Linked DNA regions of Callithrix jacchus. The protein of the gene in region 2 interacts with the protein of the main gene of each other region in a pairwise test. Links are inferred from orthologs where the notes say so. Each region holds a gene or a part of one and is shown on either strand. Other genes may lie near its edges.

The links.
Region 1: the proteins of ARHGEF7 (region 2) and GIT1 interact in binary tests that used the Homo sapiens proteins (3 or more experiments, as listed by UniProt). The link is inferred for Callithrix jacchus from reciprocal best matches to the Homo sapiens genes ARHGEF7 and GIT1.
Region 3: the proteins of ARHGEF7 (region 2) and SH2D1A interact in binary tests that used the Homo sapiens proteins (3 or more experiments, as listed by UniProt). The link is inferred for Callithrix jacchus from reciprocal best matches to the Homo sapiens genes ARHGEF7 and SH2D1A.

What each region holds. Positions count from the first base shown.
Region 1 is NC_133506.1:104,019,902-104,024,097, forward strand, and holds the start of GIT1 (ARF GTPase-activating protein GIT1), read left to right. Parts: upstream 1-1,387; 5' UTR 1,388-1,649; coding exon 1,650-1,701; intron 1,702-4,196. Other genes in the region: ANKRD13B (ankyrin repeat domain-containing protein 13B), read right to left, coding at 676-813. UniProt on the Homo sapiens protein: GTPase-activating protein for ADP ribosylation factor family members, including ARF1.
Region 2 is NC_133502.1:26,831,050-26,834,693, forward strand, and holds part of ARHGEF7 (rho guanine nucleotide exchange factor 7), read left to right. Parts: intron 1-2,193; coding exon 2,194-2,454; intron 2,455-3,644. UniProt on the Homo sapiens protein: Acts as a RAC1 guanine nucleotide exchange factor (GEF) and can induce membrane ruffling. Functions in cell migration, attachment and cell spreading. Promotes targeting of RAC1 to focal adhesions. May function as a positive regulator of apoptosis.
Region 3 is NC_133524.1:120,100,130-120,104,472, forward strand, and holds the start of SH2D1A (SH2 domain-containing protein 1A), read left to right. Parts: upstream 1-1,473; 5' UTR 1,474-1,561; coding exon 1,562-1,698; intron 1,699-4,343.

The DNA.
Region 1 (4,196 bases), on a different chromosome or scaffold from region 2:
CCGTTAGGTATCGTTGCTTGCAAAAGCCCCACCGGCTGAGTGGCTGGCTGTTGGGGTAGGGGAGGCCTGCAAGGTTTTTTTTAAGGTGCAATTATAAATAAAGCCCATAGATCGCGATTTCAAACAAACTTGTCAATCTGGGCCGCAGCAAAAGGCGATGGAGGCAGCTTTGCATGTATTTCGGGTGGTGTGACTCATGAGCATTACTTGTCTCCCCTAGGGAAGGAGCCTGCCCACCCACAAGTCACTGCTGCTCTGGCACCGCTGGGATAAATCTACCAACTTGAGCACCCCTGCCCAAGGACTGCCCCCATCTTCTTACCGAGCAGGAGACTCTGACTTTTGGAGAACTCTTCCTCAATCGTCACCACTGATCTGGCCCCCAGGTCTGGCCCTGGGGTCCCCTGCCCTCTCCCCACAAGCAGAGGAGTGCCCCGCCTTTTGCTGCTGCAGGGATTGGGGGTTGGGTGCACGCGCGGCACACGTGTACGTGGGAGCATGCTCAGTGCGGGGGCTGCACCCACGTGCGGCCTGCACCTAGGCTCCCTGCCCCCCTGGCCACCCACGTTCCTCACCTGCCTCGCCTTTGCCTGTCTCTTCGTGTGAATCCAGAAGAAAAGCCGTCACCTGAAATGGCCCCTCTATGTTATATGAACCCTTTCTGGACACACATACCTCTGGTGGCCCAGAAACACCGTGGGTGTGTATAGGCCGGATGACAAGTGGATATGAGTGCACACAGGCACAGTGGTCACTCCTCGGGAGGTCTTTAAAACCGTCCAGATTCTCTCCTCTCTGGATGGAAGCATGCATGGAGAGATAGATGTATTTTTAGTCCGAAGACAGGAATACACTGCCTGACCTTTCCGGCACCTGGGCGTCCATATTGTGTGGGCGTTTTCAGCAAGAGTGTGACACCACACACACACCTGGACACACAGATGTGGACACTACAGGACCGGGACGCACACTTCACCCCAACCAGAGATAGACGGGTACTCAAGGCACAGCCCCTTTGACGTGGAGCGGGACTTGGGCCTCCAAGTCCTTCCTCTCTTCCCTAATCCCCGCCCTCGCTGTCCCTGGGCCCAGCGTCGCCCGGGCCACCCGACACCGAAAGTGAAGGGGAGGGGGCTGTGAGGGTGACTCACACTGCCTCCGGGCCAGGAGAGCGCTGCAGCAGAGGCCGAGGCCTCAGGCCACGCTGCCCGCCGGCACCCGGCGGCGGCCGCGGCCCCTTTAAGCGTCCCCGCCCCCCTCCCTCCCGCGCCCGGGCTTCCTTTCTCCGGGGGGCGCGGCCGGCAGCGCGCGGCGGGGCGGGGGTGCGGCCCCTCCCCCGGTGGGCAGGGCCTGCGCCGCTTCCTGCAGGAGCGGCCGGGAGCCGCGCAGGGGGCGGAGAGAGGAGCGGCAAGCGGCGGCGGGGCGGCGCGGGGCGGCGCGGGGCGGAGGACGCCCGAGGGCGAGCGGGCAGGCGGGCACGGCGGGTTCCGGGCCAGCCCCGGGGCGGACGGTTGGCCGGGCGCGCGGAGCCTCGCCGGGGCCACGCCGGAGCCGGGCCGGGCAGCAGGGACCGCCGCCGCCGCCGCCCGGGCCCGCCGCCCGCGCCCCCCACGCTGGCCCAGAGGGCTGCGGCCGCGTCGCCGCTGAGGATGTCCCGGAAGGGGCCGCGAACGGAGGTGTGTGCGGACTGCAGCGCCCCGGGTAAGCGCGGCCGGGCCGGGGGCGGGACCGCACAGCCAGGCCGCCGCCGCCGGGCGGGCGCCGGGGCCAGGCGGGAGCGCCGTGCGGGGCCCGAGGGCGGGGCCGGGCGGGGGGCCTCGGCCTCCAGGCTCGGCCCCCGCCCGGGCCACTGCGGAGCCGCGTCCTAGGCTGGAGAGCCGGCCTGGGGAGGCCCCTGCTCCCTGGCGGCCGTGGACTAGCGAGGAAGGACGTTCCCGGCGCCGCCTCCCACCCCTCGGTCTGAGGGAGGCGGGCAGCTGGCTGCTCCTCCACCTCCATCTCTATATCCAACGGAAGCGCCAGCCTGGGGTGGCAGGAGGGCCGTGGCGGAGGCCGGCAGGGTTTGGGAGGAGGGGGCGAGTGTGGTTTTGTGTCATCTCAGTGCCACCCCCGCGTCTTGCACCTGCTGCTCTCGTGGTCGGCACGCCCGCCGGGGTGGTGGAGGGCAAGGAGCAGAGGGCCGGGCATATGCGCCAGTGGAGCCTGGATACCGTCTCCTCAGGAGCAGATGAGCGGTGGCTACTCCCAGGACTCCCTGCCTCGGGTTCCTAACGCTGGGGCTCCTTGTGGGGCCTGGTGTTCAGGGCCAGTCCAGACCCGGGTGTTTTCCCTGGCGGCATCCCCAGGCCTGCTGGTGACTGGGAACAGCTCGGCTGGACCCTGCTTTTGCTGTTCCCCAGTAAGGCCTGCTTGAGAACGCGAGCTTGGCATTGAGCTATCCTGGGCTCGGCTCCTCCCTGTCCGCTAGCCCAGTCTGGCCAGAAATGGATGGGAGGCAGTGGCAAAAAAGTGCCTAGATTCCCCCATCCTGCTGGCTTCCTGGCCTGCCTCCTGGATGTATTTACATAGTGGTTCCCTTCTCTTTCGTAGCAGAGTTAGGACTGGGCTGGAGTGAAACCCCCCTGGCCTGCTGAGGAAGTTAGGAGTAATGATCCTAGAGGCTGCTCCCTTCTGATGGGGGAGGACAGCCAGTGATGGGGCTCTGCAGCTGGCCTGGGAGGGAAGCTCTAGCCCCATCCATTCTTTCTTTAGAAAAGGAGCTGTCTCCCTGGAGCAGGGAGCAGGTTCCAGAGGTCTGTGGACTCTAGGGAGAGTGGGCATGATTAAGAGTGAGAGTATGGTGTGCTGTTTTGTGGACCCATAACTTTCAGCCACCCCTTGAGCAGGCCCAGGACCCCACAGGTTGAGCCTCACAGATGCTCTGGTGGTTCTGGGGGTGCCAAGCTAGAGTATTTGGGAACTGGGAACCTGGCAGGGCTTGGGGACGAGATACTCGATGGGCATTATGACTGGAGGAGCTATCTGGGAGTGGGGGTCCATACCCCTAAGAAACTGTGACTCCCTTTCCCCAGATGCAGACAGGTCTGGGGATGGCAGGGCTGAGGACACCTTGCCTTATAAATGTCTGTCCCATTGTTCCGCACCTCCATGGTGTGGGCATGGAATGATGGGAGGAGAGGCTTAGCAGATACCCTATCAGAGGAGCCTGGGCTTTAGTGTAGTGTACCTTTGTTCCCAGCTTACTCTGTAACCCCAGCAAGACTTTCATCACTGTGGGGGCCTCAGTTTCCTCAATTCTGAGGCAAAGAAGTTGGAGTAGAAATTGTTTTTGAGGGGCTGCCATCTCTGAACCTGTGGTCTGATTCTGGGGCAGTGAGGTGTAGGGCAACACCAGCAAGGCAGTTACCCCTTTTTTTTTTCCTTTTTTTGAGACAGAGTTTCACTTTTGTTACCCAGTCTGGAGTGCAATGGCGTGATCTCTGCTCACTGCAACCTCCGCCTCCTAGGTTCAAGCGATTCTCCTGCCTCAGCCTCCTGAGTGGCTGGGATTATAGGCATGTGCCACCACGCCCAGCTAATTTTGTATTCTTAGTAGAGACAGGGTTTCTCCATGTTGGTCAGGCTGGTCTCAAACTCCCAACCTCAGGTGATCCACCTGCCTCAGCCTCCCAAAGTGCTGGGATTACAGGCCTGAGCCACCGAGCCCAGTTGGGAGTTGTCCTTGCTACATTGCGTTGAGTAGTTGGCCAAAGCCTCTGGATACCCAGTGAGCTCAGGGAGGAATGGTGAGCGTGTAGTATGTTGGATTGCCCAGCTCCTACCCCCAGGTCCTCATCCGTCAGAGGCATTTGTGCCCCAGATATCTCCTTTCCCCTGATCCCCAATAGAGGTCAGGAAGGTAGTGAGAAGGTGAGGATGGTAGTGGGGGAAGGATGTGGACAAAGTCTTACTCATTATCCCACCTCCCACCCAGCAAGGTGTCTGGCATGTGGCAGGCATTCCGAGTGTTTGGCTGCTTGTCAGGACCCTGGCTGGCTGTTTGGGACTGTCCCACACCTGGACAATTAGGATGCTGGCCCTGGTGAGCAGTGGCACATTTGGTCTGGGTCCTGTAGCATCTCAGGCAGAGAGGCATGAGGGTACCCGGTAGTCTGGAGGCCAGATCCACTGCCAGCCCCCGTGGTGTATGACTCCAC
Region 2 (3,644 bases):
CCCAGTGAGTGTTCTTGAGAAACCGCCCAGAGTTTTGCTTCCTCACACACAGTTCAGAGGCGCTTGGGTGGGAAGCTGCTTCTGCTCAGCGTGGCCCTGGAAGACTCATTTAGGGGAGTTTTACACGAAACTATAGATGATTTTGCTGAGAATTTTAACTGTTTATCATGCTTCATTTATGAGAGAGAAAAATAAATGATTGATGATGATAAGGGCCAAATTCATGTTGAAGGCATTAAAATAGAATTTATGACACACTGTTTTGGTTTTAAGAAATTGAGGTATCTTATACTTAGAAAGGCTCAACAACTCTTTGTATTTTTAGAGAATTACCACTTTTCAGAATAGATAAGCACTGAAGTTGCAGTGTCTAAACCTCTCCTGGTGTTTTGTGCTTGAGAAGCTGGTACTGGGTTAACAGCTGTCATCTTTATCGAGTAATACCGAAAAACTGGGCAGAACTTTCAAAGAATGAATTATGATGACACTTTCAGCTTGCAGATGTCCTTGCGTCCTTATTAGGTTGTTAGGTTCAGTTCTGTCATGTGGCTCACTTTCCACGTTTTATTCTTCATGTTAAGGTTGTATAGCTCAAGAAGGGTTGCTGTATTCTGATATTCTCATTAGAGTTTCATAGTCCATCTGATTTCTCTCCACAGTATGGAGATTATAGCTGCTCACTGGCTTTCAGCTAGCATTTCATTTTTAATGGCTCTGCCATTTTAAAATTCTCCATTCTTTCATGGAGATCAGTTTATCCCACGGATGCCTGTGTACACACGTGTTTATAAAGAACAGTGGGGATGAGCTGCTTCACTCAGGTTTTCAACAGCAGCCTGAAAGTCGACTTCTTAAAGTTTTATATCAAGTCAGCTTTTCTCTGTGGCCAGATCCTCTGTCTTAGTGTTTCTTTCACTGGTGGCTGGGAAGGCACCCCTTCAGTGTGGAACGCACGTGCCTTACAGTTCTCCCACCAAGTTTCTTTTGTGGGATGACGTACTCTTCTGTAATCCAACTCTGTCCACCTGAAATCATATTCTAATTTTAGCATAAAGTATACCTCCTTTGATTTTTTTTTCGAGAAAAGGAGAAACAAAACCAGACATTACTTAACTCTGACGACGTCTTTCAGTCCATCTATGCTTTATTTCCTATGGAAAGATTACCTTGCCATGGCTTCCTAGCATGGCCTCCATCTTAACACACGTCCCTCCCCATGCAGGGACTAGAATGGGATCCTCGTAGTCAGTTGACTGCGTCCACTCCTGCGGGACCTGCCCTCTCAGCCTGTGTTAATGTCGTGCGTGTCTTCAGAAGGCTGACCCCACTCAGGTCTCCAGTTCACAGCGCCATGCAGCTCATTCTCCCATTAAATTTGCCTTTACTGTTATTGGCTAATTTGAGGTCATTAGCTGATTGTGAGAATTACTTATTTTATTTAACTTTCCTCATTTAACTGCCATTGTGATGGGATATTTTGCGTTTTCCAGGAATATAAAATTTATTAATAGCACAGCCCTCTAAGAAGTTAATTTTTGATTAACTTTGATTTGATTAAAGTTGAGTTTTCTAAGAAGATAGCTTGTTTTATACCAGGGGTTGGCAGTTAAAGAGCCAGGTGGTGGTAAACATTCTCTGCTTTACAGGTTCAGGTCTCTTGCCACTGTACTTTGCCCTTGGGACAGAAAAGCAGCTATAGACAGGAACGGGCCTGCTTGTGTGCCAGGAAAACTTTTTTTAAAAAAAGTAGGTGATCAGGCCTTAGTTTTGCCCAGTCCTTTATCACAAGGTGAAGAATAATACGTGGCTGGGGAGAATCACCTTCCTTCTTACAGCCACGTCCTGTGTTATTTTTTAAATTCTAATCTTTGTACTAGATGAAGTAGCTTTTTTCTATTAATAAATGTTACTGCATAGCCAATTAATGTGGCTAGTGGATGCCTGAGTGGTGGAGCCCCAGCTTGAGCTGCCCCTCCTGCCTGGAGCAGACGCCATGGGGAGCTCCACGCTCAGCCCAGGTGGCGCGAGGTGGTGTTTAGCTCCAAAATCTGACTGCTGAGAGTCAGAGATTCAAATGAAATGATTAATCCTGGGGTTTATTTCACATGGAGTGTTTAAGAATGGAAGGAAGTGCGTGATAACTGCACTTTCACAGTGAGCACATGAGTTTCTTCCCGCTCTGTGCCTCGGCAGCTCCCCTCCCACCCGGTCACTCCGTCCAGCAAGCATGCAGACAGCAAGCCCGCGCCGCTGACGCCTGCCTACCACACGCTCCCCCACCCCTCCCACCATGGCACCCCGCACACCACCATCAACTGGGGACCCCTGGAGCCTCCGAAAACACCCAAGCCTTGGAGCCTGAGCTGCCTGCGGCCTGCGCCTCCCCTCCGGCCCTCAGCTGCTCTCTGCTACAAGGAGGTGAGGTCCCTTGACCACTCAAACAGCCAGACAACGGTGAGCATGCCTCGGGCCCCGGGGGTGCCGGGCTGGTCCTTCTGTACACAGCAAAATGCACCCTGACTCCTAGAGAATGGAGAAGGGGGTCTGCCTGGGTTCCCTGGTTATCTGCTCTGCTGCTGGGAGGCCCATGGTTACCCTGTGAGGGAAGGGTGTGTAGCGCCCCTTCCTGTCTCGGTTCCCTGGGTATCTGTTCTGCTGGTTTGAGACCCGTGATTACCCTGTGTGGGAAGAGTGTGTGCAGCGCCCCCTTCTTTCTGTGCCATGCAGAGAAGGGCCTTTCCTGTGCTTGCCAGAGGACTGTACCCCTGGGGGCCAGGAGCTGGAAAGGGGCTGATTTCTAGGTGGCTTTCCCTCCATGCGTGAGGCCGCTGCTCTGCACCTGCATGCTGTCTGTTGTGTCTAACAACTCCTCCTCTAGGTTGGGGATCCTGTCCTGTCACCCAGTACCATTTGAGATGAAGAGAGCACTTACCAATACAAATGAAACAGTTACTTAAGGCAGTTCCCTGCTTCGATGTGTAAGAAATCGTGATGCAGTCTTTGCTCATCTCCCTTCTGAGCCAGCATTTTTTATATGCTAGGTGCAAAGTGCAATTCTAATGACTAAATATAAGTATTAACAGGTTCTTACACTTTGACCTAAACCAGTTTGGATGAGGAAAGGAAGTATCTTGAGAAGTGTGTTGTGAGAAGTATTTTCACCTGAGGAAGCTGATAATTGAGATGAGTCTTGTTTTCATAAGCAGTTGAGTGTGTTCACTGGTGAGGTATAAGGAGTGGCTGTGAGGAGGGTAAGGGTATCATGCCTGTGAATGTGAGCAGCAGTGTCATTGGTGGGTGTGAGCGTGAGGGTGGTGACGCACTCTTGCCTGGCATTGTGCCTCTATCTGATCAAGGCCACATTTGCCAGGGAAGCTGGAGCAGACCTTTTCTACATTCTTGCCAGCAGCCTTGAGGGTTTTAAGGTCCGTAGAAAAATACTCTGTAAGAACCCACGATCAGTGCTTTGCACTTTTTGTTCTTACTGAGTCACGTTTTTATGATACCTTGCAGGTAGTCGTGTGTGCAAGTCAGAATTTTTTCTATCATGCGAAGTTACTTGAAGAATGCTGGTGTTCCTTATATACTTTAGTATGCACAGTCTAAAGAAAAAGGGAACTATTGCAAGAACTGGTGGAGATTGA
Region 3 (4,343 bases), on a different chromosome or scaffold from region 2:
TCCCCAGAGCCATCTCCAATATCACCTTGAATGCTTTTTTATTAAATCTTAATGCTGAAAATGACTGTAGGAGATTTATGTTTATACTTTGCATAGTAAGGCTGGGCACTCTTCAATCAAGAAGAAAAGTTGCTACCAGCTATCACTGAAATCTTAGAGGATTTTTCCTAACCCTAGTCGATGAAGAGCAAATATCTGCCTTTGGTGCAAGTCAGCTCTGTACCTGCAATCCATTGGTAAGACATGTGAGGAATTAAGTATTGCTCTCCCTATTGAGCTCCCAGCATTGCCATATTCTCAAAGAACTACACGCTGAAGTTGCAGAAAGCATATAATAGATCACATAGCTTCAGTTATTTTAATTCCAATTTTACAAGTACTTTGCATAATCTAAAGGTACATGTATAAGACCATTCAGCTTCAGCAATAAATTCTTACTCTAGTGAAAATGCAAGAAGTTTTGGGGAAATATTACCTAGCACATTTTGAAATAGAAGCAATGCTTTATTTCAGAGAAGAAAATGGAGGTTGAAAGGTTTTAAAATATTAAAGACAGTTTAGCATCAATCGAAGAAATAACATTGTTTAGAAACAACAGACAATAAAAGTTACAACAAAATTATCAACGCTTGCAAATGATTTAAAACAGATTTTTTGGACAAAATGCTGAAAGGTGGGCCTTATACACCAAAGGGCACATACAAATTTGCATTAAGACAAATCACCAGTTAAATGTTACATTGTCTCATCTAAAGCCCATCAAATACTTAAATCTGGAACATCTTTGGATGTGCATTGTGACTTTTGTATCTCAACTAGCACTTTGGGACCTTGGACAAGGTGTTAGGAAAGAAATCAATATTGGTCAGGACCAAGACTTCTCAAGATGACTGCATGAGGTAGAAGGAAGAAGGAGAAAAAGAACTTGCCCAAAGTTCACTGTTCATCTGCTATGTCTGATTCTGTAGGAGTCTTCATGGCCGTGTTCAGTAATGATTGCATAATGACAGTACTAATAAAACTATTAGTGTTTTGTTCTCAGAGCTTTTGGTCCTTTCATTCTGTCAGTATGTTTCTGCCCTACATGATGGGTCCACATACCGACAGAGACATGTATAACTTGCCTCTATCATCAACTCCTTACCGGCTGGTTGAGCTAAGTTATTCCTTGTGGCCTCTGAGTAATCTGCAAGAACAGAAGCATTACTAAGCATCCCTATCTGCGTGCAAGGGTGTGTGTTGGCAGTACAGCTCAAATCTTGCAAAATCCTTCTTCTAATTTTCCTCCCCTCTGTAAGAACCCTGTGTTGGGGGGCAGGAGATGGAAGCCCTTGGCAAGCTCGATTAAACCAAGCTACTAAATTGCTGAGCTGGTTTTAATTGAAGTGTGAGAAGGAGGTTTAAGGCAAGTAGACAACATCCTGTTGTTTGGGTGCCTCTCTCTTTTTTGCACATCTGGCTGAACTGGGAGTCAGGTGGTTGATCTGTGCCTGGCTGCAGTAGCAGCGGCATCTCCCTTGTACAATCCTCCTCCTCGGCCTGCCCGAGAGTCCACCAGGCCATGGATGCAGTGGCTGTGTATCACGGGAAAATCAGCAGGGAGACCGGCGAGAAGCTCCTGCTCGCCACTGGGCTGGATGGCAGCTATTTGCTGAGGGACAGCGAGAGCGTGCCAGGCGTGTACTGCCTGTGTGTGCTGTGAGTATTCTGTGGCAGGCAGGGGCCTGCTGAGCATGTGGATGGTGGGCACTGGCAGCTGAGGCCAGGGCAGAGGCTGAGGCGGGCAAGGGTGCTGGCGTTAGCAGCTTGCTGAGGCCTTCTTCATGACCCACCCTCAAGTCTAGTCCAGGGCCGTGAGGGAACACACTTTCGCCTGAGTCCCTCGCTGGGGATTTCATTCCCTGGGCCTCCTGCTCTCCAGAAGGCCCTCACCAGGGGCTTTTGGGGCAGCTGCAGAGAATGCCCTTTAGGGTGGTGAAATATGGTCTAAAGTTTACCTTTGCTCCAAGAAAGACCCAGGCTCCCAACTTCCATTTTAACTCCTATCGGGTGGCTCCGTACTCTAGCTCTCTTTAAATGACTTTTGAAGTGTCATCCCAAAGAAAGAGCATGACATTCAGAGAGAGGAGGCAGATTAAGAAACAGTCAATTACTTTAAGAATGCAATGCCAGTTAGGTCAAGATGCTGAGAGAGGAGGGGGATGTGTGAAAGTAAAATCATCTCTCTGGATCTGCTGATGTAGCATTCTTTAGAAAGGTAGTGTCTGTGAGGGGTGGGGCAGGGGATTTCAGAAATAGGATCCTTCTTGATAAACATTAGGACTCACAGTAGTCTTAAAGGGAATGGAGGGAAAACACCCTTGTTATGATTCAGCTTTGCCCTTTGCCTAGGCATGTCTCAGTCTAAGGCTTCATTTTGAATCAAATTCACCTGTGTCGTTGCTCCAGTGCTCCAGAGTCAGGCAGATCTGAGATGTAGTCCTGCGCTAGTCAGATGTTAGTCTTGTGACCTGGGCAAATTAACCTTTCAGTCCCCCAGTTTTCTTATCCATTGAATAATACTAAAGATATATTATTATTATTATATCTCCTCTTTTCAGTTGATTTCTTTTAGGAATCATGGGGGCATTTCTAAGGAAGTACCTAGCTAGCTCAAGCATTATTGTCAGCGGAATAAAAAAATCCATGAAAACAACAACCCTGCATAGTAGGTTCTAGACAGAAACCAAATGAGGTTAAATGCTTGGTAGTAAGTTCAGCATCTGATGATACACTACAAGAGTTTGAAATACCTTATGGGTCAGTGAAGAAAGATGATCCCGATGCTGGTGTTAGAGGATTTTCACTGTATATTGGTTATTAAAAATGGTCAAGCCTTGTTTGTTGCAGCTCTCCTATCATGCTCTAAATACATTTTTCATAAAGGCTTCAAGGGAAATACGTGGAAGCTATTGATTGTCTTGGGCTTGAATCTTTATGTTTTGCTTATATCATTATTGTTTCCATGTGGAACCTAGGGAAGGGCAAAGAAAACCAGCTGGGATTCTTAGGCTCTTTTCTCATTGAAAGAAGGTGCAGTGGGCAGGTGAAAGGTACTGCTTTAGGGAAGCTGACAAAGGAGATAACATGCTCCTTAACCCAAAGGTGAAAAAGAAAGTACAAAACAAGTCTGGGCAGAGGAGGGACAACAGGGTATAGTGAGAGTCAAGATACACCTAAGGCTTCAGCCTCACTGGGCTCCTGGCCATTTCTCAAGCTCCTAAAAAATGCCCCCACTTAGGATTTCTGCACTTATTGTTCACATGTTTGTTCAACTGTCTCCTCCCTCAGAGAGGACTTGCTTGACCACTACCTAGAACAACTGCTCTCTCCCTGTCCCTGATACACTCGCTCCATCTCTACTTTTCTTCAAAGAGCTTTAAACTATCTGATAACTTGCTTACTTACCTACTTATTGCTGGACGCTCCTGCAAAAATATAATCTCCATGAGGGTAGAGACATTGTCTCCATCACCAGGAACACAGAAACACATAATAGGCACTCAGCAAATATTTTTGAATCAACACACTGTCAAGGCAAATTCTGTTCTTTACTGTAAGAAACTGAATGGACATCGATGGGTTAGGGTGTGGACTCTGGGAAAGTCACTCAAATTCTCTGGGTCTCACTTTCCATATTTATAAAACAGGAATAGTATTGTGTATCTTACCTTCTGCAAAAGATTGCCTTCAGTACAATATATAAGACAGAAGGACAACTTTAGCCTTTTGCCTGTGTAGGCCAGAACCACATAAGGAATTAACTTAGGCAGATGAGAAATTCTCAAGCATTTAACTTTTTGCCCAAAGTGAATCTTGCATAAATGCAGTTTTTATGACCCTTAGTTCTCCATGAAAACCTCCCTGTAAAGTAGCAGAAAATACTGGGCAAATTGGGAGTTCCCTTATGGTGTCTTTCAAATGGTACACTGGGGCCTCAAAGTCTTATGAGACTGTTAGAGTGATAGCCAGAATGTGCTGCAGAGGGAAGATACAAGGATACATTGCCTTTTATCAGAGTTTCTCAAGGTTTTTGAATTGAGAGTCCTTTTTGATAAACATAAACATTTCATTTCCTCTTTTTGGTGCTACACTGTAATGATAAAATCAAATTTTGTTTAGAAATAAACCATGTACTAATTTTAAAACAAAACACTTTTGCTTATGATATGCAGTCAAAATAACAATAGAAGTGGTGTCATATGCACATAGACAACAAGGTATAGCTGATAAACATGCATTGATTGTAGGGTTTACTCAGAGTAGTTTCTCATTCTTTTGTGTACTCCTATTAACCAAGAATA